Diceros bicornis minor: one gene and its partners. The protein of the gene in region 4 interacts with the protein of the main gene of each other region in a pairwise test. Links are inferred from orthologs where the notes say so. Each region holds a gene or a part of one and is shown on either strand. Other genes may lie near its edges.

Region 1 (7,067 bases), on a different chromosome or scaffold from region 4:
CTTGGAAAACACTTTGGCAGTTCCTTGAAATGTTAAACACAGAATTACCATATGACCCAGCAATTCCACTCCCCAGAGAAATGAAAACATGTCCACCCAATATTTGTACACAAATGTTCATAGCAGCGTTATTCATAATAGACAAAAAAGTAGAAACAACCCAAATATCCATCAACTGATGAATGGATAAATAAAATGTGGTATATCCATAAAATGGAATATTATTTGGCCATAAAAAGGAATTAAGTACTGATACGTGCTACAACATGGATGAACTTCAAAAATATTACGCTAAGTGAGAGAAGCCAGTCACAAAACACCACACTCCATTTCTACAAAACGTGCAAAATAGGCAAATCTATAGAGACAGAAAGTGGATTAGTGGTCGCCTAAGGCTGGGGGTGGGGAGGATGAGGAGGGACAAGGCTTCTCTTTGGGGATGAAAATCTTCTAAAATTAGATTATAGTGATGGTTGCACAACTCTGTAAATACACTAAAAAACACTGAATTGTACACTTTAAATGGGTGAACTTTATGGCATATAAATTATATCTCAATAAAGCTATTTATTCTAGGGGAGGCAGGAACCGGGCAGACAGAGGACAGGGAGGGGAGGCAGGCTTTCTGTTATATACCTTTTTATACTTTCTGAGCTTCCAACCATGTGACTATACTACATATTCAAAAAGCAATTTAAAAAACAAACAAATCAAACAAAATTAAAAAGAGACCCTTGACCCTTCCCTCATTTGGGGAGAAAAGAGGGAGAGACTGCTTCCCACCCAACCCCCTGTGAGGTGATGGTTGGGTGGATAGTGGGTCAGATCCGACAAGGGCGCCTGAGAGAGCTTTCAAGACACGTGGCCGGGAAGCCACCACGCCGCTGGACCTGACCGAGAGACAGTGCCCAAGTGGCCAGAGGGTGCCGTCCCTGCTCCCCCTCCTCTACCACTGCCTGGACCTACGGAAAATGCCAGAGTCATCGTCAGCCCCAAAGAGGGCAGAAAAACCCCAGGACTGACACCGGCCAGGCAGAACAGAAGCTTGGGAAAGAAGCTCTGTTGACACACGGGGAAGAAGGGAAGGAGTCCCGCACGCCTGGTCTGTGGCCCCGGCTCCCAGCCCAGCTCCCGTGCACCCTGAGACTGGAGAGCAGCCAGGAGGGACGATTCCTGGAGCCCACTGCCCATGCTTCCTCACGTGCTTGGCTTGTTAATAGGTGCTGCACCAAGAAAGACCTCTGGGGTCAAATTAGTTTGAAAAATGCTGGGTTAAAGAAAGTCAAAGTGTGTTTTTTTAACGGCAGCCCTTCTCAGAACCACTGCTTGTGACTCTTCAAGAGGGGCTCTGGCAGGTACAAAGCCCTTCTGTGTTTTTGAGGGACATCTGGTGGAACAGAGGCTCTTCTTCTTTTTACAGCTGAGGAAAGGGAGCCCAGAGAGGTGAAGCGGCTCATCCAAGGTCACACAGCAAGTCCGTGAGCAGCAGAAGCTAGAACTCCTGACTCCCGGCCAGGGCTGAGTCCTCGGCATGAGGTAGCCTCCATCAGTGCCAGGTCACAGCTCTGACCCATCCCGACTCACGGTTGGTCCTGGGGGCCCAGGCAGCTTCATCCTGTATCAAGGCGACCTCTGGTCCCTCCCTGGTCCAACTCTCTCAGAAATTTTATACATTTGAGCCCTTAGCTGAGGACACGTCTGGGGATGTGGTCACAACACAAAACGGAACAGAGAAAAGACAGGCTCCCTACCTGATGCGTGGGGGAGAGAATAGGCTGTGCCACTGTGGGCCCTGATACCCGCTCAGATCCGGCCCCGGGTCCCATCTGCACAGGGAGGACCTGGCCCCTTTTATCCGCTTTAGCGACCTACGCTTCCAGGTTTCTGCTTTCGAGCAAACCTTTAAAAGCTGCCCTGACGCATGATCCAGCTTCTTCAACAAATAAACAGCAGGGAAAAAATGGGAACGGTGCTAGATTAAAACATAGGGCCAAAGGCTGACGTGGGCTGTGTTTGATCCCGGTTTGCACAAATCAACAGGAAAAGGCACAGCTGAGACCATCGGGAAGTCTGAACACTGACCGGCCGATAGTGGGGAGAGACTGAGGGATCATGGTTCTCAGAAGTGGTCACCACATCATGGTTAGTTTTTTGGTTTTTGTTTTTTAAAGAGTTTTTAAGAGATAAATCCTGAGGTGTCCCCAAATCAAACAACACGATGTTCGGAATTAGCTTTAAAATGCTCCAGGGGGCCGGAGCCGGGATGGGGGGCGTGGGTGACCAGAGTTGGTCACATATTGATAAATGTGAAGCGGGTGACCCACCAGGAGGGTTTGTAAACTCTCCTCTCTACTCTTGCCTAAGTGTCAACTTCAAAATAAAATATTTTTAAAATACCCTGGTGGGGGCCGGCCCGGTGGTGCAGTGGTTAAGTGCCCGTGCTCCGCTTTGGCAGCCCGAGGGTTCACAGGTTTGGATTCCAGGCGCGCACCCACGCACCTCTTGTCAGGCCATGCTGTGGCAGCGACCCATATAAAGTGGAGGAAGATGGGCACGGATGTTAGCCCAGGGCCAGTCTTCCTCAGCAAAAAAGAGGAGGATTGGCATGGATGTGAGCTCAGGGCTGGTCTTCCTCACACACACACAAAAAGTCCTGGTGAATCTGGCTCCGGGCCCTCTGGCCAGCTTGTGGTAGGGGTCTCAGAGGGAATTCCTGCCCCGGTGGCTGACCATCTGGCCTCGGGGCTCCCATCCTGGACTGCAAGGCACAGACCCCGGAGTCCCCAGACCTGGGCTCTCCACGGGCGGGGGCTTGGGGAGGCCCCGGACCGCCCCAGCTTGCCCATCTGCTGTGGGCGTCGCGCCCACCGACCCCACGGAGCCCAGGCGGCGCCGAGCCCTCCCAACCACCCGCGCCTCCCCGGCTACTCACGCCGCTCCTCCGGGCCCGCCCGGCTCCGGCCACCTCTCCTGCTCTGGCCCGGGCCCCTCATTACTCAGGACGTTTATTATTAGCCTCAGATTTGATTAGTGCCCCTGCTGCACTTCCTGGGTTTTCCCCCCAAGCTGTAGGATGTAAATCAGCGGCACCCCCACCCCTCACCCCCGCGCCTGCGCGCTGTCTCGGGAGCTGCTGGGGGTGGACGCGGCCCGGCGCCCCAGGAGTCCCGTCGGGCGCTGTCTGCTGAGCCCCCCGCACGCTGCTCACCCGGGCAGAGCAGGGGAAGGCCCGACCCCGCCCCGGCATGGGCTACCAACCCTGGCATGGCCCAGATCTGGCCCTGACCTCCCACCGGGACCTGGTCTCCTGCCCCACCGCGGACACGCCAGGCTCAGGCCCGGGAAACAGCTCTCCAGCTTCCGAGCATTGCTCAGGCCCTTCCTTCGTCCCGGACAACTATTGCTTGTTTCATTGCCCGGTCATCTCCTCTTATTCCTTCTTCAGGCTCAGCTGAGGTGTCACCTCCTCTGGGAAGCCATCCCTGACTGCCCCAGGCCAGGTTAGGTGCCCATTCTCTGTGCTTCCTAAGCTCTGTCCTTCCTCCCTTCAAAGCACTCCAAGAGGCTGACACTAAAGCCTGGGTTTGAGTCTCAGCTCGCCCACTTAGCAGCAGGAAGCCTTGGCGGCAGTTTACTTAGCTTCTCTGGACCTCCATTTCCTCTTCTGTAAAATGGATATAATAACAGTCCCTGTCTCACAGGTTGTTATGAGAATGAAGTGAGTTAACACAGTGGAATTTGTAGAGCAAGTTCTTGGCACAGAGCAGGTTCTCACTAAATGATATGGAAATTAGTGCTGTAGCCCTCTTCACACTCTTGTCTTCCCAGCTCCTCTGAAACCTCCGTGAGCATGAGGAGCCCGCGGCTTAAGCTGGAGTGGGACGCACTTAGAAGTCACAGGAAGCCCACGGCACTCAGGAAGGGACCTTTGAGGGCTGAGAAGGAATCAGGCGGGTGGAGGGAAGGAGATAGGCCTTCCAGGCAGCGGTCAGGGCAGGGGGGAGCGGTGCGGGGAACAAAGGCCAATTTAGATGATGGTGAGCAGAACAGGAGAGAAAATGCAAATGGCTCGTAACCCTAAAAAATGCTTAATCTCACCAATAAGCAGAAAAGTACGACTTAACCATGAAAAACTGATTTTCATCCAGCAAGTTGGCAAAGTCTTAAAGTTGATGGTGTCGAGGACTGGAGGGGATCTGCGGAAATGTGAACTCACGCCCTGCTGGAGGAGGGTACCGCCATTTCAGAGGGCAACCTGGCAGCGTCAAGTAAATGTGGAACATATGCCTAACCCAGGACCCAGAAATTCTTTCTGTGCCGCAGAGGCACAGGGATGTTCGCTGAAGCATAGTCAATAACAGTGAGCAACTGGAACGACGCGAATGCCCACCCAATAGAGATGGCTGAATAAATAAGGTACACAGGCCGTAACCAGGAACACTACGCGTCGCCTGAAAAGAATGAGGCAGATCTGTAAGCAGTGACGTGGAAAGATTGTCAAGACAGATCGTTGAGTGGAAAGAACATAGTTTATAGGATGATACTTACAGTAAGATGCCTTTTAGTAAAACACAAACAAGCAGATCACACACACACACACACACACACGCACACAAGGCCACTATATTGTCCACGATCGCGTACGTGTGAATGTGACGCGAGTCTGAAGGGCTGTGCATGATGACAGTGGCTGCATCCAGGGGGCGGGGGGCGAGAAGGGAGCAGGGTTGGCGGTGATGGTCAAAGGGGACTTTAGCCCTATTCATACTGTTTTAACTTTCACATGGAGAAGATACCACATATTACTTGTGTCAATGAAATGTAGCAAACCCACGGCTGGGCTGGTGGGGTAGACGCGTGAGCCAGAGGCAACCATAGATTCTGTTGCCAGGAACGTTCTGCCTGTTGAAATGGGGCAAGCCCAGAGTCACTGCTGGATGCCCTCACTGCATCCCCTCCTTGCCTTCGATTTGCACACTCCCAGGGCCGAGGCTCTCACCACCTCACAAAGCGGTTGGCTCCCAGGGGGTGAGCTCTGACCACTGGACAGCTTGTCTCCATCTATTGAACACTGTGCCTTCCAGAAACGCAACCTCTGGACAGGTTGCCGCTCTCTGGAGCCACATGCATGGTCTTGGTCAGTGAGACAGCACTCTGGAGTTTTACAGCCAGCATAGGTTAGGCGGAAACTGAAAGACAAGCCCACAAAATCCCACTTGACTTTTGGGGTGGCTGAGAACTGCATGGTGGGGTTCCCTGATGTCCCATTGCTGATCACAGCTTGTTAATGCTTTTCTCAAACAGTTTACAGACAATGGATTTCATTTAGTTTCTATTTCTTTAGTTAGAGGCGTCGTTTACATATGATGAAATGCATGCATGTCCTGTGGAAGGTCAATGAATGTTTACATATGCGCATATCCAGGCAGCACCACCCACATTAAGACTTAGAACACTTTCAGCCCCCACAGAAGGCTCCCTCCCTCCCCCTCCAGGCAGTACCCCCATCCCAGAATAGCCACTGTTCTGACCTCTCTCCCCATGCAATCGCTTGCCTGTGCCAGCATGAGTGGGATGAATGGGAACAGAAGATGGGGTCATCCGCGGTGTCTAGTTTCACTCCGTGTTAGGTGGGATTAAAGCAGGCAGAACAAAGCTGTGGGGATCTTGGGGGGAAGTTGTTTGACGTCTGCGAGTCTCATTTTCTCCTGATCCATCACATGGATGGCCACGAAGCTGAAACAGGACTGCACAGACCAGAGCACACGTGACCCCTCCCCCCAGGGCCGCACGGTTGCAGGGAATTGCTATCGTTGGGCATGCTCGGTCTAGGCCACGACCCACGACAACACCCCCCAGCCCCGCCCCCAGCACTCTGGGCTGCCTCAGCGCAGGTGGTGGAGGTTTCCGAACCTCATTCTGAACCTTCCAAACCTCATTCTGAAACCAGCCCTTCTGACTTGTCTCCTTGGGGGTGCGGAGTTCTAATTTTAAGCTCCACAGTCAAGGCGACAGCAGAGTTTTGGAACCCAGAGCAAAGACACATTGTATACCTCAAGGTTTGGGAACTGGTTCATTCATATACGTGTATTTAAACTGTTGAAATGAGCACGTGGTAAAGAAACATTCAAACAGTGTGAAAGAGAATATAGCAAAAAGCAAATTTCGCCCCAATCTAGATACTCCAGACTCCCCTCCTCAGAGGCAGTAGCCGCCAGCACGTCTGTTCCCACAGCCTTCCACTAGGGCCCAGGCCTTCGTGCGAGTGTGGGTCACTACAGGACAGATTTTGCCCCATTTCCCCCCACACGCTTTTTTTTACGTAATTGCTGGCTTATCCAGATTAAACACACTGTTAACACGCTCCTTTTCTCCCTTAATATATCCTATCAATCAGTCCTTACCTTTTTAAATGAGCTCTTAGAATGCTCGCTAGGAATAATAACAGGAGCGAGCATTTCCGAACCCCTCACTGTGTGCCAGGCGCTATTCTTAAACACTTGGCATGTGCTCATTAATGTCTGTTTTATCTTCTCCGTGACTCACGGAATGGCTGGAATTCCTCAGGGGGAGTCACTCTGTCAGAGGGAACGCTGCCGTGTTGGTCAGTATTTCCTTGCCCGCGTGTGCGATGCTGTGACTGCAGGGCCCCTCGCCCACTCCAGGGCTGGGAGGGTCTTTGAGGCGGCGGGTGTTCGTCTCATCCCGCCCTCGTGTCTGCCACCCCCGCTGGCCCCTTTGAGGCCACGCCGTTGAACCTTCTCTAAAGAGTCTTAGAGGTAAGATAAAAGCAAGAGTACCCAAAAAAGGACATTTCTTAGAAATGCAGCGAAAGCCCTGATTTTCATGATTGCAATTTACATACACGACTCAGATGTGCTGAATTTCCTACTTTGCTAATATACCTGTTCCTTCGATTTGTACTAATTTCTCAGAAAGGCTAGATACTGTTACTTGAGCAAAACCCACCAAAGAAGCAAACACTGATTTCTTTACAATAAAAGCACCCAATCTTTTGTGGGAAGACCTAGTTTCTTTTTCTATTTTAAAATTTTCCCCTCAAAACT
Region 2 (7,326 bases), on a different chromosome or scaffold from region 4:
AGGCGTTAGCTGCATCCCACAACTTTTGATAAGTCATGTTTGCATTTCCCTTCAATTCAAAATATTTTCTTAATTCCCTGTGATTTCTTCTTTGGTCCATAGGTTATTTAGAAATGTGTGTTTAGTTTCTAATTATTTGAGGATCTTCAAGGTATCTTTCTGTTATTGATTTCTAATTTAATTCTGTTGTGGTCAAAGAACATACTTTGTGTGATTTGAAATCTTTAAATTTATTGAGACTTGTTTTATGGCCAAATAGTTTATTTTGGGAAAGGTCCCGTGTAGCCTTGAAAATAATATGTATTAAGCAGTTGTTGGGTGGAGTGTCTATAAATGCCAGCCAGGTCAAGTTGGTTGATAGTGTTGATCAAGTCTTCTGTATCCTTACTGATTTTCTACCTACATGTTCTTTCAATTATTGAGAGAGAAGTGTTGAAATCTTTAACTATAATTTTAGATTTGTCTATTTTTTCTTTCAGTTTGATTAATGTTGGAGCATAGGGTTTCTTTTCTTTTATTTTAACTTTGCAGATGATTCTAATATGCAGCCAGAGTTAAAGAATATTGCTCTAAACCAATAGTTCTCAAACTTCAGCATGCATCAGAATTGCTTAGGGGGCTTATTATTAAAATACGGATTTCTGGGCCCTACTCCCAGAGTTTCTGATTCAGTAGATCTGGAGGAATTTGCATTTCTCACAGCTCCAAGGTGATGTTGATACCGCTGCTTCAGAGGCCACACTTTAAGAATCACTGACTAAGCCAAAGTATCTTAACATTGGTTGCATATTAGAATCACCTGAAGAGCTTTAAAAATTATGATACATAGGCTACATCCAGACCAACTAAATTTAGGATCTGCTTGGGGAAAGGAGGAGTAGAGCAACCCAGGCATCGGTATCCTTTAAAGCTCTCTCTCTCTCGCTCTCTTTTTTTTTTTTTTTGTGAGGAAGATCAGCCCTTAGCTAACATCCATGCTAATCCTCCTCTTTTTGCTGAGGAAGACCGGCACTGAGCTAACATCTATTGCCAATCCTCTTCCTTTTTTTCCCCCTCCAAAGCCCCAGTAGATAGTTGTATGTCATAGTTGCACAACCCTCTAGTTGCTTATGTGGGACGCGGCCTCAGCATGGCCGGAGAAGCGGTGCGCGCCCGGGAGCCGAACCGGGCTGCCAGTAGCAGAGCACGCACTTAACTGCTAAGCCACTGGGCCAGCCCTAAAGCTCTCTTATGTGATATAAAAAACAGTCAAGATAGAGAATCACTGCTCTATACTAAAGTAATTATCCGGATTGCCCAAGAAAGTCTTTGCGGCTTGTTACCAACACTTCATCAGTGTCCCCTGAGTGAAAAACACTGTGCTGTTCCAGCAAACAGGTCGTATGAATGACCTAGTGCCCTGGGGCAGGAGATTGGGTTTCAGCTCCTCCTCTTCCACAGTCAACCTAGCAGTTTCCTTTTTCGCAAAATGGAGCCAATGTCTCCTACCCGCTTCCTAGAATATAGAAAGCTTCTGACAACCAATAACATTCTATCTTTTGTCATTGGGAAAACATTCCATTAACTATCTATACTTAGAAATTAAAATGATCCTTAATTTAATGATACTTATTTTCCATAATTGGGTTTTTATGCATAGCGTTTTAGAGAAGAAAAATATTGACTAAGAATTATCTAGGTACACTTTATCCTACCTAATACTTGCAGGGAAATTCACGTGTTACAGGTATACTCCAAAGAACCTTTAACGGCAGTCACAGCAGCAAAGTTATTAAACCAGAATCTTTTAATCTTCCATTAACCCTCCCATCTTCCTTCACTTCATCCTGCACAGGGGCTGTGACGAAGGAGAAATCTTCTGGCAGGAGAATTATCACAAACAGTGCTGACACTTTGGACAACAGCCATAACACAGTCTTGTACTTGTCTTCTCCTTCTCCTTCTCTGCCTCTCCTCCTCCTTTTTTTTCCTTTTTTTAATTTTCGGAGTAATTTTACTCAAATTACAAATCATGTAATTTTTACAATCATCATGTGAGGTAGGCAGAATAGGTATTACTGTCCACATTTTTCAGCTGAAAACTAAAGCAGGCAAAGAGAGATTGCACAAGGAACTAGCCTATAATACAGGTTCTTTGGTTCCAGGTACAAAATTTTCTCCAACTGAGGGGAAGGAAAAATGGGCACAAATGTAGACAGGAAAAACCAGAGAACTTCCGACAGCCTCAGGAGCCACCTTGGAGATCACTAGGCACAGGGCCACTATGAGCAGAAGGGAATATTCAGAGATGAAGTCATCTAGTTCATCACAGACATTTTACAAAAGAGGAACCTGGCTTGCACTGGGCAGCTAGAAAGTGTGAAAAGAGTAGGATTGACAGGCAGAAGACCTGAGTTCTGGCTTCACTGTGCCACTAAACTTTGGACCAACCCACTTAGCCATCAACCTACAGACATTTGCCTTTGGATATCCCACAAGCATTTCAAACTCATGTCCAAAACTATGTCTCCTCCCTCACCCATGCCCCCTTCATCTTCTGTGATGATCACCTCAAAAATTGGCCCAGGGCAGGATTCTGAAAATCATCCCTCTCCTTCATCTCCCATGTCTCTCTCTGTTACCAAATTCTGCTATAAGTCTTGCAGATTCATCTCCTCCTCCCCATTTCTTCCGCCACTGTCTCAGTTCAGGCCCTCACTATGCCTGGCCTGATTAGGTTACTACAGTTGTCTAACAGATCTCCTGGCTTCCACTCTCGCCCTGTTTCAATACATCTGCCGCCCCACCCGCCACCACAGAGAGTTTTCGGAAACAGAAATCGTCTGTCACTGCTCTACTTATTATTCATTTGCTCTTCACCACCAACTGGATGAAGCTAAGATCCCAAGCAGGATGTCCCAATCTATTTGTGGTCTGGCCTCTGCCTTTTTCTCGCACTTCATCTTTCACTGCTAGTAACCTCAGCCAAGCCCAAGTTTTGCAGTTCCTCCAATGTCACCTTTGGCTTTGACACTAATAGTTCAGTCTTCCTGGAAGTCTCCTCCTTCTCCTGTCCATTGCCTGGTTAAAATTAACTCACCCTTCTAGACTCAGCTTAGGTTGGAATTTTTCCTGGCACTTCTTTTATATATCCTTTTGATACTCCCATAGCATCTTGTGCAAACAAAAGAGTCACTATTCACCCTGCACTGTGTTTGCTCACACATCTGTGTCCCTCACTAAACTCAGCTGTGGAATGGCAAGGACAGCATCCTATTCAGGGTTTGGTATTGAATAGTCAACAAATATTTGAGGACCTACTTTATGCCAAATGTTATAGGTCTATTAAGGGCCATAGCAGTGAAAAAAGCAAAGACACTCCTTGCTTTCAAGTGGGAGGTGACATAAATAAATAAATGAACAGATAAGTAACCAAGAGAATATGCAAGTGAAAAGTGCTATGCGGAAAATTAAAATAAATCTCGTGATACGAAAGTGACCGCGTGGCTACTTTAGATTGGGTATGTCAGGATGTTCCCTCTGGGAACTGACATTTAAGCTGATAAGTGAATGCCAACGAGCCAGGTATTCAGAGAGCACAGCATTCCAGCAGAGAGGGCTACCAGTACAAAGGACAGAAGAACCAAAGGTGGCTCTTGTGGCTTAAAGCAAGCGTGGGAAAGTCAAGATGGGGTCAGAGAAGAAGGCAGGAGTTGTATTATGTAAACTTTGTGGGCCAGAGTAGAGTTTTGATTTTGTTCTAAGTGTGATGGGGAGTGATATGATCTGATTTATATCTTTAAAAAGATCTCTCTGAGACTGCTGTGTGTATAAAGGGCTGTTGGGAGTGGAAACAGATCAGTTTGGAGGAGAAAGACGTCAGTGGCCAGGATTGGGTGGTCGCAGCGGTTTTGGAGAAAGTGGACGGCTTTCGGATACATGTGTGAGCGTGGCCAGGCCCCGCTAGGGAGCCGATGAATTAAGCACGTGGATTTTGGCCCGAGCACCTGAGTAGTTACTGGGGAACAGAGCAGGCGCTCTGCGACTTGCAGGAGGAGGAAGAGGGCCTTGAAAAAGTCCCTTCGCCTCCGCGGACTCCGGACTCCGGGGAGAGTCAGGTCAGGCAGCTGGAGAGAGCCACGCCCAGCCGCGCAGCTGGCGGCCTGCCAGCGCCGCGACGCCGAGAGGGCCGGCGGGCGGCGCGCGCGGCCCCGGGACTCCACGTGCCCGGCGCGGGGGTTTCCGCGTCCTCGGGCGGGGCCGGAAGAGGAAGTCGGCGCTGCGGTGGCGGCCCCAGCTGCAGCGGCGGGCCCGGCCAAGCCCCGCCGCCCGCCCCTGTCCGCCGGCCGCGGAGACAGCGACGCGGCGGGACCCGAGCCTGCCCCCGCTGAGTCGCGCCGCGCCGCCGGGCACCCGCCAGTCCGATGGGGCCGCCGCGGCCGCTGCCCCCCGCCGCGGCCGCGCTGCTCTGGGGCTTCCTGCTCCCGCTGGTAAGGGGGGCGGGCGGCGGGCGGGCCTCCCCGGGGCGGGGCCGGGCCGGGACTCCCTTCCCCTTCTCCCCACCCCTGGGCGGCTGCCCGGCCTCCCCTCTGCCCGCGCCGGTGCCGCCTGCTCGTGCCTCTCCCTTTCCTCCCCCCCTTCCCATTGCTCCCTTTCCTTCCAGCCCCCTCTTGTTCACCCTTTCCTCCAGCCTTCCTGCCCTCCACCCCCATTCCCGTCCTTTGAAGTCCCCGAAGCTCCTACCCCCAAGAAAGCTCTCTGCGGAGCCCCGCAGGCTACGTTGACCTTGGTTCTTCTCTCTAGTTTTTCACTGTTCCGGGCATTTTTAATTGACCTCTGAGTTTTAGCGTCTAGACTTCCCTGCAGCTTCTTAACCTCTTTTCTTCTCAGGAAGAAGAAAAAAAAATTATACATGGCCCCAGGGTGTTGAGCGGTTCAAGGACTGTGCTTTCATTTAATTGCTCTAATATAGTTTTTCTTTTTCTTCTTCTACCTCCTCTGTAGTTCCTGCTTGGCCTTAGGGCTCATTGGATTCCATTCTGGGGGGTTTTGGTAATCGTAGTGACTTAAAATAATTTTTAAAAGAACACAACAAAGTGTAATGCCTTTAGTGGTTTTCAGTTCTCTGCCTGGTTTAAAGGGGAGGGGAGTCGGTTAAGTAACAAATATGTGTTCACAGGTTTGTTTTTTTCATAATTACGGAAAAGTAATGATGTTTTAAAATTCTGCATCAAGCAACTGAGTTTCACTGGGTGGTCAGGACGCCAGTGTTCAGTGTTTGTTTCTTGTAAATTTCACTTAGGGAGTTTCAAGTTGGAAACTTTTATAAGCTTTATTTATATAGAATTGGTATGGTGTATGCTGTCTAATTCTTTCCATTAGAATGTGTAACTTCTCTGAAGGAGTATGTTTTCCATGCTCTCCAGTTTAGAGGATTACTCTTTGTGAATATATTCAATATAAAAGTGTCTTGAACATTTATTAAGAAACCAAAAATCAAAGCCTAAAATGGTTAAGTGCCTGTGGTATGTTAGTAACTTTGCTAGGCAACATTAGGAACATGAATGAGATAATGTATCTAAAAATTGCTTCAGCGCCTGGAGTGTGTGTGGGTGATACAATATAAAGAGAATAACAAAGTAGCAGTGTTAGTCTGAATCTTTGAGGTGTTTACCATGTAATCAGATATGTCTGAAAGATAATTCAGATAGTATGTAAATACACATAAAACTATATGCTAGATATAAAACTTGTGTGATGTTTTTGCACTCATTTTCATTTGAACCTCTTAAACTAATTGCAAGAATATATCTTCTATATCACATTCCTATTAATCTTTTCTCAACACAAATTCATAATTAACCTAATAATAATTGCTCATAAACTCACATTGAAATTCTTATCAATAGCTCTGAACCCCCTCACTAGAAAAATGTAAGCAGAATTTTCATATAACTTCAAGGGCTTCACAAATCTAAAGGTCATCCCTGTTCTGAATTGTAGCTAGCCTCTGTCTCTCACATTCTAGATTTTATTCTTTTTATATCCCACCATTTGTTGTATGTCACTGTGTTAATCTTGGGTTCTGTACTCCTCAGTCCCAGAGTTGTTGGGGACTCAGTAACATTCTTTTGCTCCACAAATATTTAGTGTGCATCTGTTATATGCCAGGCACTGGGCTGGTGACTATGAGTAAACTGACAGGATCTTTTTTCAATTGTAAAGCTCTTTTTCAGTGCCAACCATTATTATTGATTTTCTATTTCTTATTAATTTCTCAGTGAGTTTGTTTTCTTCTTGACCTTTCCTTCCTTGAATTTCGTGAAATGATCTCTTTCTCATTCCTTTCCTTTTCTGAGGAACGCAAATAAATCTGGTATCATTTTCCTCAGCAGGAGCTTGCTCTCTCCTTCCTTCTGCTTACTTGCTGGATAGCTAGTTCTTTTCCTCCACGACTATCTGGAGAGTTTTTGTTTGTTTATTTTTTACCATTTTCTCCCTGAAGCCCTTGTTGTTCTCTTCCCTAGTCTTACAGCTCCAGGTGGCCTCTCTGAATTCATTTGAATGAATGATGCCAGCTGAATCATTTCATGTCTCCTTTCTGGGCTCTTGAAGCTGGCATTGCTGGGCCTTTTTCGCCTTAGTCATGTAAGAACAGGGCCAACATCCTCATCTAGAAGCAGCACATAATCTCCAGAAACCACTACCACATCCTTGAAGAAGAGAGGATTTCTTATTAGAAAGGGCCTTCAACATCCTGTAGCCTGCCCTCCTCAACTTGTTGTCTTTACATCAGAGTGACCTCACTGTGTATACTGAACTCAAGCTACAGCATGCCTGGCTGTTTTACTGTTTTCTAAACGCATCAAACATTTAAGTCTAGAAATAAAAAAATTCTCACTTGCCTCTGTCCTATTCCGTTTCTCACTCGTCCTTCCCCAGTCCAACCCCCACCGCTAGCCCCAACCTGTTTGACCTTTATTTCACAGTGTTGTTGGGACCCAGTCACGGAGTTCTTTTTTTTTTTTATAATTTTATTTTTATTTATTTTTTCCTCCAAAGCCCCAGTAGATAGTTGTATGCCATAGCTGCACATCCTTCCAGTCGCTGTACATGGGACACGGCCTCAGCATGGCCGGAGAAGCGGCGCGTCGGTGCGCGCCCGGGATCTGAACCCGGGCCGCCAGCAGCGGAGCGCTTGCACTTAACCGCTAAGCCACGGTGTCGGCCCATGGAGTTCTGTTTCAAAGAGAATGAGTGAAGTTTAGCCTGGATCTGTTTTCTAAAATTGCTTCAAAGTTCTCTGAAGAGTTCTGAGTGTTTCTCATAATGTTTTTACAAAGTTCT
Region 3 (7,421 bases), on a different chromosome or scaffold from region 4:
TGGGAGGCTGGCTGCAGGGTGGGGTGCTACCTCCCCCATGTCTTGTTCCCCAGCGGTTCTGGCTGCTCCTCCTGACCCGGGGCCTGGTGGGGGTCGGGGAGGCCAGTTACTCCACCATCGCGCCCACTCTCATCGCTGACCTCTTCGTGGCAGACCAGCGGAGTCGGATGCTCAGCGTCTTCTACTTTGCCATCCCAGTGGGCAGGTGAGTGGGCCTTGGGCCTGATGGGGAGGCAGAAGGGCCTGGCGTGGGGGACGCGACTGACCAGCTGTCTCCTCTCCTCTCCCACTCCCTTCCCCCAGTGGTCTGGGTTACATTGCAGGCTCCAAAGTGAAGGATGTGGCCGGGGACTGGCACTGGGCTCTGAGGGTGAGTCTGGTCACGGCCTGCCGAAGGTCAGGAACATTCTCACTGATCCCCGTTTCCTACCTTCAGACACCCCCTCTTTTGAGGCAGTCTCACTCTTGCAAGCCTTCAGGAAGCCTGGCTGCCCTCACCATGAAGCCATGTGCTAGAACTCTTGGTTGCAGGTGACAGAAGCCCATTGAAAAACTGTAAGCCCCAAAATGGGACTTTCTTGGCTCTCATAATGGAAAGTCCCAGGGTGAGCTTCAGGTAAAGCTGGATCCAGGACTCACCCACTGTCACAGGAATTTGATCATCCTTTTCTCAGCTCTGCTTTCCTCTGTGTTAACTTCATTCTCAAGCAAGGGAAAGCTCCACATGTTTGTATTCCTATTTAGAAGCATCAGCACCCTGGATCCTTGGGCAGTAGTCCTACATGGTGTCTGATTAAATGAACATGGGTCACATGCCTGCCACTGAATCAGTCACTGAGGCTGGGGAGGGTAACACTACTCTTGTTGGCCAAGTCTGGATTACAAGCCCCGCCCTGTTTGAACTACATGGATTGAGAGAAGGCAGAGTGGTTTCCTAGAAGAAAATTAGAGTACTGTTACCAAAGAGGGAGCAGCTAGGCTTGCAGACACGGGGCCCCTAGTGGCATTTGCCCCTCCCCCCAGTTGTAAGTTTAGCTTCCCTGAACAGGCACTCACCTGGCTGTTTGAGGTCTTGAGGCCTGAGTTGCCTTAATACCCCCTCACTTTCTCCCAGCCCCAGGTTGAGTGTGTCCCTCCCTGTGCCTGTCCTGAAGCCCACTCTTCCCCCAGGTGACACCAGGTCTAGGAGTGCTGGCTGTTCTGCTGTTGTTCCTAGTAGTACGGGAGCCGCCGAGGGGAGCTGTGGAGCGCCACTCAGACTCACCGCCCCTGAGCCCCACCTCATGGTGGGCAGATCTGAGGGCTCTGGCAAGAAAGTGAGTTTAGTTCCATTCTCACCCAACATCTGAGGCCCCCCAGGGAGGCCTGACATCTAGTTTGAGATTTAGTGGGCGTGGTCTTTGTTTTCTCTTATGCCAGCTGGCTCTACCTCAGGGCCTGGAATTCAGTCACCACTGCCTCCTTGTGGCAGCAGCTTGAATTACAGGCCCAGATCCTGGGCACCAGGACAGCCTTCACCCGGGGCCCAGACCTTATTAAAATAAGTCAGGAAGGGAGAACAGAGGTCCCCTACCCCAACACCTCAGTGGAGTCTGACTTCTCCTCCCAACTGTCTGCAGTCCCAGTTTCATCCTGTCTTCCCTTGGCTTCACTGCTGTGGCCTTCGTCACGGGCTCCCTGGCTCTTTGGGCTCCTGCCTTCTTGCTGCGTTCCCGTGTGGTCTTGGGGGAGACCCCACCCTGCCTTCCTGGAGACTCCTGCTCTTCCTCTGACAGGTACCCAGATTGGGGCTGTGCTGGGTGGCCTGCAAGCGGCAGGGGATGGAGTGGAGAGAGTCTGCGATTCAGACTCAGGCAAGGAGAGTTTGAGCCCCAACCCCAAAGCTACTTCCTCTCCCCGAGTCTCAGTGTCCTGGTCTGGGAAACAGGGATGGGGTGACGCCTTCCTCTTTGAGCTTAGTGAACTGTGGGGTGCTGTGCCTGGATAGACCTGGGCTGTGAGGGTGGCTGGGATGGACCATCTTCCTCTCCAGGCCGTGGGGGTGAGGCTAGGGGGCTTTGCAGCCAGAGGGTCTAGCCCGCACCCCCTCCACTCCCCCCAGCCTCATCTTCGGGCTCATCACCTGCGTGACTGGCGTCCTGGGTGTGGGCCTGGGCGTGGAGGTCAGCCGCCGCCTCCGCCGCTCCAACCCCCGGGCTGACCCGCTTGTCTGTGCTGCTGGCCTCCTGGGCTCCGCACCCTTCCTCTTCCTGTCCCTCGCCTGTGCCCGTGGTAGCATCGTGGCCACCTATGTGAGTAGCCCAGAGGTATCAAGGGGGGTGTTCCGGGTACAGGGTGGAGGAACGGGGTACTGGGGCAGGACTGGGGTCAGCCAGCCAGTTCAGAGCCGACTCTGGAGCAGGAATACCCAGCTTTGCATCTCAGCTCCAGCCTTTCCCAGCTGTGTGACATTGGGCAAGTACTTAACCTCTGTGCTGGGTTTCATCACCTGTAAAATGGGAGTGATAGTAGCACCTGTTGTGAGGATTAAATGTGTTAACAGATGGGCCTGGTACCTGGTAAACCCTCCATGTATTTGCTCTTCTTGTGATGAGGACCCCCCCCCACCCCCCAGATTTTCATCTTTATCGGAGAGACACTGCTATCCATGAACTGGGCCATTGTGGCTGACATTCTGCTGGTGAGTAGCCGGGCCGCTCCAGGGTTAGCCCAGAGGCTAATGAGAGCAGGGAGTGGGGGCAGCAGGCCTCACTTTCCTTGAATTGTGGCCTTGACCTCATCTTCAAAACCAGCCCCAGACTGACTTCAGAGTCCAGCCCCAGACGGGTCTGTAGCCTTCCCCCCAGTCACACCTCTGAGCCAGGGTTCACCTCTGACCTCAGCCTAGGCTGAGCCTTGGCCTTGTCCTCAGCCTCTGCCTCCTGCCCCTCCTCCCCCCAGTACGTGGTGATCCCCACACGACGCTCCACCGCCGAGGCCTTCCAGATTGTGCTGTCCCACCTGTTGGGTGACGCTGGGAGCCCCTACCTCATTGGCGTGGTGAGCACTGCCCCTTGGCCGGGCCTGGGGTGGGAGTTGGGGGCCCCTGCATTCCTAGCACCGGCTGGTGGTCACTGGCCTGAGCCTGGGCCACATTGGAAGGTCCCAGTTAGGGTCTGTGCCCTCTGTGCCAGGCCCCCTCACCTTGGGTCCTCAACTAGTCAGGAAGGGTTTTGTCCTGGCAGATGCCCACAGTGAGGCCGTGGAGCTCGCCTGGCGGACCAGCCCTCCTGCCCTTCCTGGCTCCAGGCTTTGTTCTCTGGAGTTCGGGGGCTCTCTCTCCCTGACCCCGTCCCCTGGCCTTCCTCTCCTGTCTCCGGCAGATCTCCGACCGCCTCCGCCGGCGCTGGCCCCCCTCCTTCTTGTCTGAGTTCCGGGCCTTGCAGTTCTCACTCATGCTCTGCGCCTTCGTTGGGGCGCTGGGGGGTGCGGCCTTCCTGGGCACCGCTCTCTTCATTGAGGGCGACCGCCAGCGAGCCCACCTGCACGTGCAGGGTCAGTTGCGCCTTCCCTCTGTCCATCCACAGCTCCTTGCCCTGCTTGTCCATCCGTCCGTGTGCTCGGTCCTGTGTGTCTGTCATCCCTCAGTCCACAGCCCTCCCCTCATGTGGCTTCAGCTCTGCCTGTCCAACAAGCTGATGCCCCTGTGTCCACAGCCCTGGTGGCTCTGCTGCCCAGTCCATTGCCCGCTGCCTGTCGGTCCCCTCCCTGGCTTTGTGTCTATCTTTGCCTCCAGCCCTGGCTCTGACCCCTTCCCGGCAGGTCTGCTGCATGAGACAGGGCCCGCAGATGACCGTATCGTGGTGCCCCAGCGAGGCCGCCCCACCCGGGTCCCCGTGTCCAGTGTGCTCATCTGAGGGGTTGTTGCTCGCCCACCTGCACACCTACCCCAGGAGGTGCCCGGGCCCAAACCCACAGCCTGGCCCAGCTTCTGGGAGGGACCTTGGGCCATGTTCCAGCTCCTAGACACTACACAGGCAGCCAAGCAGGGGGCAGGGGGGTCCGGGAATGGGGTCCCCCTCCACTGGAGCCGCCCGAGGGGCTCGGTGCTATTTGTACCTAAATAAAATTTATAGCCAGACCCCAAATGCCTGCTGAGTCTCTCTCGGTGCTAGCGATCTCTGACCTCTGGACTGCAGGGGATGCCATGTCTGCAGCCCCAGGACCCCCTGGGGGCTGTTGGGTCACTCCTGTGGGGCCTTGGGCAAATCCCTGCCCTTTGGGGCTGGGTGAATGAGAGGGTGGAGTGAGCTGGCTCAGTGTGATGGTGAGTCACGCCCACGTTTCCCCCAGAGCCCGCCCCTCTTGGCAGGCTGGCCAGGGGGAGGGGGTGTGGGCACTGCCCTGTGCCCCTCGGGGATTCCTGGTGTCAGAACCTCCCTCCCTGCTGCCTCCTCGAGCCGCGGCTGAAGGCTGCGGCTGCTGGCCTGCCAGGCTTCCCTCCTGCCACTGGTATAGTTGCCTCTTGTCCTGGAGGCCGGCAGAGCCTTCTTGAGGGCCTGGGGTGGCTCATCGGGCCTCCTCCCCCTCCCCACTGTCTGGGTGGGGGTGGGAAGGGGGCGGGTGCAGCCGGCTGAGGAGCCCGATGATTTCCTGCCCTCACCCGGCGCTCACCACAGCTTCCTGCCGCAGGCGGGCGGGCGAGGAGGAGAGGCGGGCGCCAAGCTGAGGGGCAGGTAGGACTGGGGTGCAGGGTCTGCGCAGGGTGGCTGGTGCCTCAGACTCCAGTCAAGGCCCTGGCCTGACCGCCTGGGGATCAAGGGTCTTCCAGAGCCAGCGCTGACCCCCACTCAGTCCAGTGAGAGGAGGGGATCCAGGGCCCCCAAGGAGGGCACAGCTGTCCCCACCTGGCTCCTGCCTGGTGCCCACTGGTCCCGGCACCTTGCTGGCCCAGTCCTCGCCCTGCTGCAGCTCTGCCCCTGAGGGGCGTGCGGCGAACAGCCAGGCCTGGTCCAGGCTCTCTTCTGCAGATGGAGGCGGCCATCCTGATCCCCTCCGTGCTGGGACCCCTGCTGCTGCCTCTCTTGGCCGTGTTGCTGATGGCACTGTGTGTGCGCTGCCGAGAGCTGCCAGGTGAGCGCGAGGTGGCGAGGTGGCCAGGTGCTCGGACACACTGACAGGGCTCCTCACCCTGCCCCCAACCCCTTGCTCCGTCTTTAACTGTCCCTAACTCTGTCCTGCACACGGAGATACGGAGAGCCCCGGCCTCCATCACCGTTTCCCCTTGTCACCCCCTTTTCCTGTCTCTCTTTTCCAGGCTCATATGACAGTGCTGCCTCTGATAGGTGAGTCGCCCCCCGACCGTGTGTCTGTCTCCCTCAATACTCATGCGGGGCTGGGCTGGGGGGCTGGCTGGGCCTCTCCCGGCCCTTCCCCTAGCTGTGTGTTTCCTGCCAGCTTGACCCCGAGCAGCATCGTGATCAAACGGCCTCGTGAGTACACGGGGTGTCTCCTCCCTCGAGTAGGGGAGAGGGTCCCCGGGGGTGTGAGAGAGCGTGTGCCTTTGTTCAGGTTACCCCCCACTGTGGCGTCCACATGGCCTTGACCTGAGCTGGGGATGGGGAGGGAGATGGGTGGCCTCAGGCCTGTCCAGGGGTGTCAGGGGTTAGCCTGCCCTTTGAGGCCTCGAGGATGGTAGGGGCATGAGGTTGGAGTCATTCCTTCAGCTTGGTCCTGTGTCCTCAGCCACGCTCGCCCCATGGCCACCGGCCGCTTCCTACCCGCCTGTTACCTCCTTCCCACCCCTGAGCCAGCCAGACCTGCTCCCCATCCCGTAAGTAGCCCGTTCCTCTCCAGAGTCTCCTCTTTACCCCTCACCTCCTTGGATTGGGGCCTCTTTCCCTGTTGTTACCCCTCTTGTCCCAGAGCCCCACTCCAGCATAACCTCTGACCTTTGACTCCCAGGAGATCCCCACAGCCCCCCGGGGGCTCCCACCGCATGCCATCTTCCCGGCAAGGCTCAGATGGTGGTAAGCGTGGAGCGGCCTGGGGGGCTGGGGCTGTACATAGGCTAGGCCCCGCCTGAGCTGACTCAGTCTCCCTCACTCTCTCTCTGCAGCCAACAGTGTGGCGAGCTATGAGAACGAGGGTGCTTCTGGAACCCCAGGTGCCGTGGCTAGGGGAAGGCTAAGGCCTGCCCCAGGCTTTGCCGACCCCCGTGTCGTTACCCCAGAGCCAGCCTGTGAGGACGCGGATGAAGATGAGGATGAGGAAGACTATCACAACGAGGGCTACTTGTGAGTTGCCCGGCGGGAGGTGGGGGCTGCGGCCGGGAGTCCGTGCTCACACACCCCTTGACTTCCTTACAGAGTGGTGCTTCCTGACACTGTCCCAGCCACCGGCACCGCCGTCCCGCCACCTCCTGCGTCCAAAAACCCCGGCCTCCGAGACAGCGCCTTCTCCAGTGAGTCGGCCATTTCTGACCCCTCCCTGGCCCCTCCGTGCTGGGGCCCCTCCCCTTCTCCTTCTCCTGTTATTTCTTTGATGCTTGCTACCCTCCATTTTCTCTCCTCTCTCTTTCTAGAACTCCTGTTCTTCAGAGAGTGGACTTCCTGCTCCGATCTCATTTTCTTACTTTTTCTCTTCTCTTTCCTATCTTTTTATCTTTTCCTTTTATTGTTGGCGAGATTTCCTTGACTTTCTTCTTCTTTTGACTCCGTTCCTTGATTCTGCTCTTTTATGTTCTCTCTTCTATCTGAAAGTTCTTTGTTGATCTCTGACTGTTCCTTTTTCATAGCCTCCTGTTCTTGTTTCATGGAGGCAATATCATTTTGTACATTTCTAAGGGTATTGATTATACATTTTGCCGGGGGCAGTTGTTTTGGAAGTGTTCTTCTGCTTCCTGCATTGCTTTGGTTTCCTTGGAGCTGCTGTTCCCCCTTCACTTTGGTCTCATCCTGCCTGTGAGAGGCTTTCCTCAATGTCTGGTGGTCTTCAGGGTTCTGTTACTCTCCTCTCTCTCTGTACTCACTCTGGGCCACCCCTTCTACATCCTGGCTTCATTTGCCATACAGATTCCCAGTGCCTCTCTCCTGAGCTCCAGATCACTTGTCCAAGTGCTTCTTTTCATTCATTCATTCATTCGTTCACTCACTCATTCATTCATCGTATTCACTGTGTGCCTCTGATACAACAGCTCGTGAGGTAGAGTCATGATAAAAGAGCTGATGTTTGTTGAGGGCCTACCACATGCCCTACTAAGAGTTTTCCATGTGTTGACTTATTAAACCTCACAATGCCCAGGTGCTGCTGTGCCTGCCCCTTCCCCTCCTGGCCTCCCTTGTCACGTCTGTACAATGGCAGCGCTTACTGTATGACAGGCCCCGTTTTAGCATTCACTGCCATAATCCTCAAAACACCCCACGAGGTGGGTGCTGTTACTT
Region 4 (7,014 bases):
AGGTAGGGTTCACACCACAGTCTAACCTCAGCCCCTCCGCTGTGCACTAGTGTTGCACTCACAACCACCTTGGCAAATCTGCACAACTGGTCTTCCTGCCCCATTTCTGGGGCTCCACGCTGCACTAAAGATCAAAGTTCAAACCCTTATCAGAGTCCACACCAGAGGCTGGCAAATCTGCTTTACCACGAGGTAAAGATTTCACATGGCACTGAGATGGTGTGTGGCTCGGCCAGTCTAAACCACTTGGCCCTTTACAAACTGGTTTGCTGACCCCTGGTCCACATCACCCAGACTCTCCTGGCTCCAGCACGGTGGCTTTGGCCAACTTCTCTGTGCCCAGTCACACCAGCTTTCTTCAAGAAGTCTCCCAGGCCGTCCCGAAGGTCGCCCCCTCTGCCCTGCATCCCCATCCCACCAGTCTTCCTTTTCACAGCCCTGTCTGCGTGAGGCCTCCATGGCATTCCTGGAGCACCTGTGGGTCTCGAATGGCCACACCTGTCCCGAATTCCTTTTTGAGTTAAGGAACAGAGGCCTGCGGGTTCCCCAGCTGGATGTGGAATGTGGAGTAAGTACTTCTCCCGGAGAGTGGAGTGGAAAATGGCTTCTCCAGGAAACACGAACCTGGGCCTCATTCTCCCCTTCTGGCATGGCAGGAGCTGGGCAGGGCCACAGTGGTCCCGGACTCCCCGTTTGTGAACACCAGGGTGGGGAGGTCTTTGCAAGGTGCTGCTGGCTCAGATCTACACTTGGTGTCTCTAGGGCAGGGTTTTTAGCAGTGTCGTTAACATTTGTGGCTAGATCATCCTCTCTGGGGGGCTGTCCTGGGCTCTGTTGGGGGCTGAGCAGCATCCCTGGCCCCCACCCCCTCAATGCCAGGAGCACCCCCAGTGTGACAACCACAGATGTCCCCAGACATCGCCCAGTGTCCCCTGGAGGGGCACAATCACCCCAGGTGAGGAACTCTGATCTAAACTAAGTGGGAAAAAGAAAGACTCAACTCAGTACAGGTCAGATTTTCTGGCCAAATGATTTTGCTGCAAACTTAGGGCAAGTCTTTCTGTTTAGAGTATTTTGGATTTCAGAACTGCAGAAAAAGGACTGTGGGTCTATATTAAATTTGATGGCAAAGACAGGCTGCAGGGGCTCAGGTGAGAGATCAGTGTAAGCTGGAATTATCAAAAAAAAAAAAAAAAAGCCTCCTGGAAGAACTAGGATGTCAAACACTTGAGCGGCCGCAATTATTCTGTAGTCTTTATTGATTGCAACCTATGGGCCAGGTCTCCAAGCTCACAATCCCGCAGCAAACAAGGCTGACAACATTCCTGCCTTCCTGAGGCCTGATGACCCTCATTCTGATGATCATCTTTAATACAATTATCATCATCATCATGGCAATGGGATGGAGAAAGAACTGGGGGAGGAGAGGCGGGCAACAGAAAATTCCAGGAGGCAGCTCACAACCTGGGCGATTTTCTAAAGAAAATGAAAACCCTCCCACTGCGTCCCTTTGCCCTTAAAAGACCACGGACCGCCAGGTGTGTTCCAGCCAGAATGATTGGGTGCTGTCCAAACGCTCACCCGTCTTGCTGTCTCCCCGTCGCCTTTGCCCTCGCCGTTCCCGCCACCTGGGACGCTCCTCCCCCAGGTCTTAGCGGCACAGCTGCTTCTAAGCTGAAATGCCACCACTTCTCAGAAGCCCTCCCTGACCGCCCTCTCCAAGGAAGCGCCACCAGCCACGGCACCGACCACTCTCTACAGCCCTTGCTTGCTTCTTTACTTATTGAACATGTCTCCGGCTCTGGAACGCCGTCCAGAACTTTCGGTCTCCCCCAGAGTCCACCCCGGGGCCAGACCCGTCCTTAGCAGAAGCGACCCGGAGTTTGCTGAATGAATGAAGCGCTAGAACAGCTGCTTCCTTCATTCGGCCACCGAGGGGGCGGGTTCCTGGGGTGGCCCAATCCCCCCCCACTCCCGGGCCCTGGTCACTCGAGGGTCACCAGGGTCCGCTCTTGGGCCCAGGTCGCGCCCCCGGGAGGCGCAAGGGTGCAGCGGCGCCCGGGTCCGGGGAACGGGGTTCACACCAAGGGGCGGCCACTACCTGCGGGGGACTTCATGGCGGGCGGTTGTGCACTGGCGGCGCCTCTCTCCACCTGGTCGGCCTCCGGCCGCTGCAGCCAACCAACCCGCTGCACTCAGCGGCCGCCGCGGACTAGACTGAGGTGCCCGCCGGCCGCGCGCCCACTGCATGCTGGGAGGGCGCGTGCGCTGGGGGACAGGGCGCACGCGCACCCCAGCTCCGCCTACAACCGGAAGGGACGGCCCAGGGAGCTGACGCGCTCTGCGCACGCGCCGGGACGCTCCCTGCCCACTATTGGCTTTCAGCCGCTAGAGGGCGGAGCCATCGGGAGGCAAGGGAGGGACGTTTCCATGGAAACATACACAAAAACACACGCACGCAGGCAGGCGCGCGCGCGCACGCACGCACGCGCACGCACGCGCGCACACACGCACACACACGCGCGCGCGCGCGCACACACACACACACACACACACGACACACAGCTGGCACCTGAGACTGAAAATTTTTGGCTCTTTCTGTCAGTACTCTGCCCGGGCTTCTAGCTCCTGCTTTAATTTGTACTTGCATCCTTTCTACCTTATGATTGTGTATTTGGCTAGTTTTGCAACTTTTCAGAAGTTTTTTGTAGATTATCCCATTACCAGCACCCTGCCCAGCTTCCAGGGTCTAATAAATAGAGAAGGTGCGCCACATATGTCAACTCAGTCTGGTTAATCAATTAAATTAAACACAGTTAAAAAAAAAAAGAAACATAGGCAATTGAATATCATGGAGAAAGCTTCAGTAAATGGATCCAGGACTTTAAATAACAGGTGTTTTGGAAAAGTGCAGTAGGCTGATCTATATCTAGTGTTGTCAGTTACAACAAAGTCTTGAGCCGTCTAAGGCACCTGGAAAAAAATATTTTACTAGGATTAAACTGACCAAAAAACCCATCTCCTTTATTTCTGCAAGAGAAATTAAAATAATCCAGAGCGTTAACCGTGCATGCTTTTTAAATAGGATAAAAATGAATTGGGAGAACACTTCTGGCAAATTTAACACTAATGGTAGTCCGTTCTGAGTCATTCTAGGGAATTTCTCATCACTCACCCTCCATTAAGCACACCGAGCTTGATCCTACTTACTCTTCGCTTTCGCTGTTCTCTGCACCTGGAGAGTTTTTTCCCTCGTCCTCCAAATCCACCTCTGAATGAGAGGTCCTCCTTAACCATCCAGCCATCTACCTCCCCAGTCACAATCACGACACCTCATTCTTTCTTCTTAGCGCTTGCCGTTAAGTGAAATTTGTTAATGTATGTACTAGCTTACTAGTTTATAGTCTGCCTACCCCAATACAAGGTAACAAGAGCAGATACTTGGCTGGTTTTTGTCATTGGTTTGCAACAAATATTTGTTGAATGAATATTAGGGACCTGATGTAAACAAATATTTCTGTATTCCTTTACGTCTTGTGGATCGAATGAATAAAAGAATGCATTTGTGGGTGAGTGGGTGGATGGGTGGGTGAATAAATGAACAAAGATGGTGAGCTGATTAACAGTCGCTCCCATTCACAGAGCGCCTGTGATGCTCTCTGGGCGCCAGATGTTCAGACGCAGCTGCACCACGTGGCCTGCTCAGCACCACGTGGCCTGCTCAGCACCACGTGGCCGGCTCAGCCGGCCGGCAGAAGTCCGCCACTGTCCCACCATGCACCGCTCCATTCCCGCTCCAGAGGACGAGTCAGTCCTGATTTCCGGCCTCCTGTCGGTCGCAGAGGTCAGTTGCCCTAACGACCAGCTCGTCCCGCCTCCAAATTACGTCACTTCCCCCCGCGCCCACCGCGCTAATCGACGCGCCTGCGCAGAAGGAAAGCCAACGGGAGCTAGCCCCTACCGCGCAGGCGTCGCGGCCGGGGGGCGGGGCCGGGCGGCACCGCGGTGCGCAGGCGCAGCCGTCGGTGGGTCGGGGTTCGGCCGCCTGAGAGGTGAGTGGGCGTTCGGTGCCGAGCCGGACGGGCCGGGGTTCCGCGGTTCGGGACTCCCGGGGCTCCGGGGCCCGTCAGAGGAGGTCGGTACGTGGTTGGGGTCGCTGCGATCCGCGGGATGCTGTGAATGGGCGGCGCTGAGGGGAAACTGAGGCCGGGCGGCGTCGGGCGGGCCCTCGGCGGCCCAGGTCCCCGTCCGCCGGACCCCAGGCGCGGGAAACGCTGGTTCGCAGGCCCGCAGGGGGACGGCGGGAGGTAAAAGCGCCCCGCACGTCGTGAGCGCGCGCTGGCTGTCCGCTGCTGCCCGGACACACGGCCCCTTTGAATCGGGGAGTCCCGTTCGTGGGGCGCAGGTCGAGACCCCTGTCCCAGCGCCGCCACTTTCCACCTGGCTGAGCTTGGCCGGCCCCCTGGTTTCTCCGGGCCTCAGTTTCCCACTCTGTAAAACGGGCGTCGTCACGGTCCCTGCCTCGGGCGGTGCTTGGGGGGATTAGAGCCGCAGGACCCAGCAGAAGTGCGAGCTCAAAGCGGGGTCTGCAGTTATGTCTCATCTCACCCTTAGGGTCTTCTGCGTATTGTGCCAGACGTGGGAGAAATCCGGGGCTGGGGACCAGCTCCACCACCTCTCGCTGGCTGTGTGAGCTTGGGCGAGTCGCCTCCCCTCTCCGAGCAGCACTTTGCTTCTACAGTAGGGGCAGTAGAAGTATCTGGCTCCTAGGGTCATTGTGAGGTTAAAAACACGTAGAACATTGCTTTAATCAGGTTCCTGGTGCTTGTAGGGCATGGCTGGTTTTGTTATTAGGCGCCAGAAGATGTGAGTGTGCTCTGCATCTTTTAAAACGACTGATGTTTCTGTTTCTTCTGTTTCTGTAACTGATTATTTGTTTTGTCTGCTTTTCCGCTCCCCAGCCAGGGGTTTTAGCCCCCCAGGGGACACTGGATGATGTCTGGGGACATTTGTGGTTTTCAGGGGGCCGGGGGGCTCCTGGCATCGAGTGGCTGGGGGCCAGGGATGCTGCTCAAAACCCCACAGTGCCCAGGGTGGCCCCCCACAGAGAAGGACCCGGCCCCACTGTCCACAGTGCCGAAGTGAAACCCTACCCTAGACTAGCGATTGTTTACCAGCAAGGGCTCCGCGGGGTTGGGGGGTATTATGTGCAAGGTTTTGTGTGTGCACCCATTTTTGGGGGTGAGAAAAGGGTACTTTGGAGTTTAGGTCTGGAATCAGACTGCCTGGGTTCCAAACTGCTGATTTGTGTCTCAGCCGGGTGAACTTGGGTGGTGCCCCCATCTTGCTGAGGATGGGGATTAGATTAAACAACCTGGGTTCTCAGCAAACTGTGGTCGGGGCGCAGATCCAGCTGCAGCCTGTTTTTGTAAACCAAGTGTGGGAACCCAGCTGCCCCTCCGTCGCGTACCCGCTAAACTGCGGCTGCTTTTGCACTACAAGAGCAGAGTCCAGACGTTGCCACAGAGACCCTGTGGCCTGTGAAGCTGAAGGCACTTACTCTGCCGCTTGTCAGAAAATGTTTGCTGACCCCTGCAATAAGCCATTGCATGTACAGCAGTCAGCTGGGGGCCTAGAAATTTCTCAGCATTCCACGGATTTCACCAGAGGTGTATAATTCAGTCTTCCTGGAAGGGTGAGTGACTCGGAGTGGGTTAAGCTCTGCCCCAGATTGAGAGCTGTCCTTTTACTTGATCCTACATTTTTTTGCCAAGACCCAGCACTGGCCTCGGCGGGAAACGCTCAGAGAGGGTTGGAGGAATAAAGGGAATTGTTGGTAGGTCAGCAAAACATAAGGTTTGTTATCTCTGCTGCTGATGAGGAAACCAGAACCAAAGAGAAACGGCCTCCCCGAGGAACTTGGTCACGTGGCTCTGACTTTGACGAGGACCTAACATTTTCCCGAGTCCATACAGGTCAGACGCCCCCAAGTGCTGGCGCTCAGAGGGAAGATGATCTGTCTAAGGGCTCACAGTCCAGTGGGGGGAGACAGGCCAGGAAAGAGTTGGGAAGCCTTGTAGGAGATGCTGGACCAGAAGCAGGACTGATACTTGGGCTTTGCTGGAAAAAGAGGGTGTCCAGCTCTGGCCGAGGAGGTGACCATGCAGCTGGGCGTCGGAGGGAGAATAAGATTCCTGGATGAGTCGGAGGGAAAACGAGCAGGTGAGTTTGAGTGGGGCATAGAGGGTTTGGTGAGGGGCCTCGTGTGCACACTCGTGAAGTTTCAGGAGGCTGTCAAGGGGTCTTAAGTGTGCCGGGCATCCTGGTGGCATTTTAGAACCTGAGCTGGAACCTGAGCTCCAGCTGTCGGGACTGCCCTTTCTGGGGGACCCGTGGTGTCCTAGGACTGGGGAGAGGAGCAGAGCACCCGCCTGTACACGCTGGTTTATGAGAAGAGCTGTGGGTTCAGGGGTGGACAGTCCTTCAGAAAGAGGATCCTTCTCCTTCTTGGGGTGTGGGGAGGCCAGTCACTCATTTTAGTAAGTTGTGCCATTTTTTCCCTTTGAGTGATCAGTTCTGGGCAGGGAAATAGAAAGAATAGAGGCTGATCTTTTTTTAGTTTAATGATAAAATGAAAAGGTGGACTGAGAGGTGGAAGGGGGTCTGAAGACCACCAGAGGAGCTGGCACCGGGCCCCCCGCCACTCCCGGGGGCCCGCGTCCGTCCACCCTCCCCAGGCTCCCTCCTGCACCCTGCGCCTCTAGACCAGCGCCCCGCTGGTGCCTTCCGAGAACTCATAAAGCCCTCACTGTTCGGGGAGAGAGGACGCCTTCTCTGAGAATTTTGTCCAGCGGCCAGAGCCCTACAAGTTGTGATTGTTCACAAGACGCTGGGTGCCTAGGAGCCGTCGAGGAAAAGCGCCATCCTCGTGCTCTGTGGGGCCGGGCTTGGCGAAGAGGAGAAAGTTCGTTCGTCTCAAAGCTGGGGCTGCACTAAGATTTGCAAACTGTTTCG

Evidence for each region.
Region 1: the proteins of SGTA (region 4) and TNFRSF13B interact in binary tests that used the Homo sapiens proteins (3 or more experiments, as listed by UniProt). The two-hybrid records come from large-scale screens. The link is inferred for Diceros bicornis minor from reciprocal best matches to the Homo sapiens genes SGTA and TNFRSF13B.
Region 2: the proteins of SGTA (region 4) and SPPL2A interact in binary tests that used the Homo sapiens proteins (3 or more experiments, as listed by UniProt). The two-hybrid records come from large-scale screens. The link is inferred for Diceros bicornis minor from reciprocal best matches to the Homo sapiens genes SGTA and SPPL2A.
Region 3: the proteins of SGTA (region 4) and LAT interact in binary tests that used the Homo sapiens proteins (3 or more experiments, as listed by UniProt). The two-hybrid records come from large-scale screens. The link is inferred for Diceros bicornis minor from reciprocal best matches to the Homo sapiens genes SGTA and LAT.

Annotation. Positions count from the first base shown.
Region 1 is NC_080757.1:466,363-473,429, forward strand, and holds the start of TNFRSF13B (tumor necrosis factor receptor superfamily member 13B), read right to left. Parts: upstream 3,011-7,067; 5' UTR 2,994-3,010; coding exon 2,933-2,993; intron 1-2,932. UniProt on the Homo sapiens protein: Receptor for TNFSF13/APRIL and TNFSF13B/TALL1/BAFF/BLYS that binds both ligands with similar high affinity. Mediates calcineurin-dependent activation of NF-AT, as well as activation of NF-kappa-B and AP-1.
Region 2 is NC_080744.1:46,950,527-46,957,852, reverse strand, and holds the start of SPPL2A (signal peptide peptidase-like 2A), read left to right. Parts: upstream 1-4,322; 5' UTR 4,323-4,403; coding exon 4,404-4,469; intron 4,470-7,326. UniProt on the Homo sapiens protein: Intramembrane-cleaving aspartic protease (I-CLiP) that cleaves type II membrane signal peptides in the hydrophobic plane of the membrane. Functions in FASLG, ITM2B and TNF processing.
Region 3 is NC_080765.1:22,226,344-22,233,764, forward strand, and holds the start of LAT (linker for activation of T-cells family member 1), read left to right. Parts: upstream 1-4,419; 5' UTR 4,420-4,715; exon of another isoform or gene 4,716-5,009; coding exon 5,010-5,112; intron 5,113-5,296; coding exon 5,297-5,324; intron 5,325-5,436; coding exon 5,437-5,471; intron 5,472-5,724; coding exon 5,725-5,812; intron 5,813-5,943; coding exon 5,944-6,008; intron 6,009-6,097; coding exon 6,098-6,275; intron 6,276-6,347; coding exon 6,348-6,442; intron 6,443-7,421. Other genes in the region: SPNS1 (protein spinster homolog 1), read left to right, coding at 54-205, 304-370, 1,171-1,316, 1,620-1,775, 2,102-2,291, 2,615-2,680, 2,941-3,039, 3,363-3,534 and 1 more. UniProt on the Homo sapiens protein: Required for TCR (T-cell antigen receptor)- and pre-TCR-mediated signaling, both in mature T-cells and during their development.
Region 4 is NW_026691553.1:1,949,842-1,956,855, reverse strand, and holds the start of SGTA (small glutamine-rich tetratricopeptide repeat-containing protein alpha), read left to right. Parts: upstream 1-3,994; 5' UTR 3,995-4,052; intron 4,053-4,097; exon of another isoform or gene 4,098-4,135; intron 4,136-7,014. Other genes in the region: THOP1 (thimet oligopeptidase), read right to left, coding at 2,102-2,117. UniProt on the Homo sapiens protein: Co-chaperone that binds misfolded and hydrophobic patches-containing client proteins in the cytosol. Mediates their targeting to the endoplasmic reticulum but also regulates their sorting to the proteasome when targeting fails.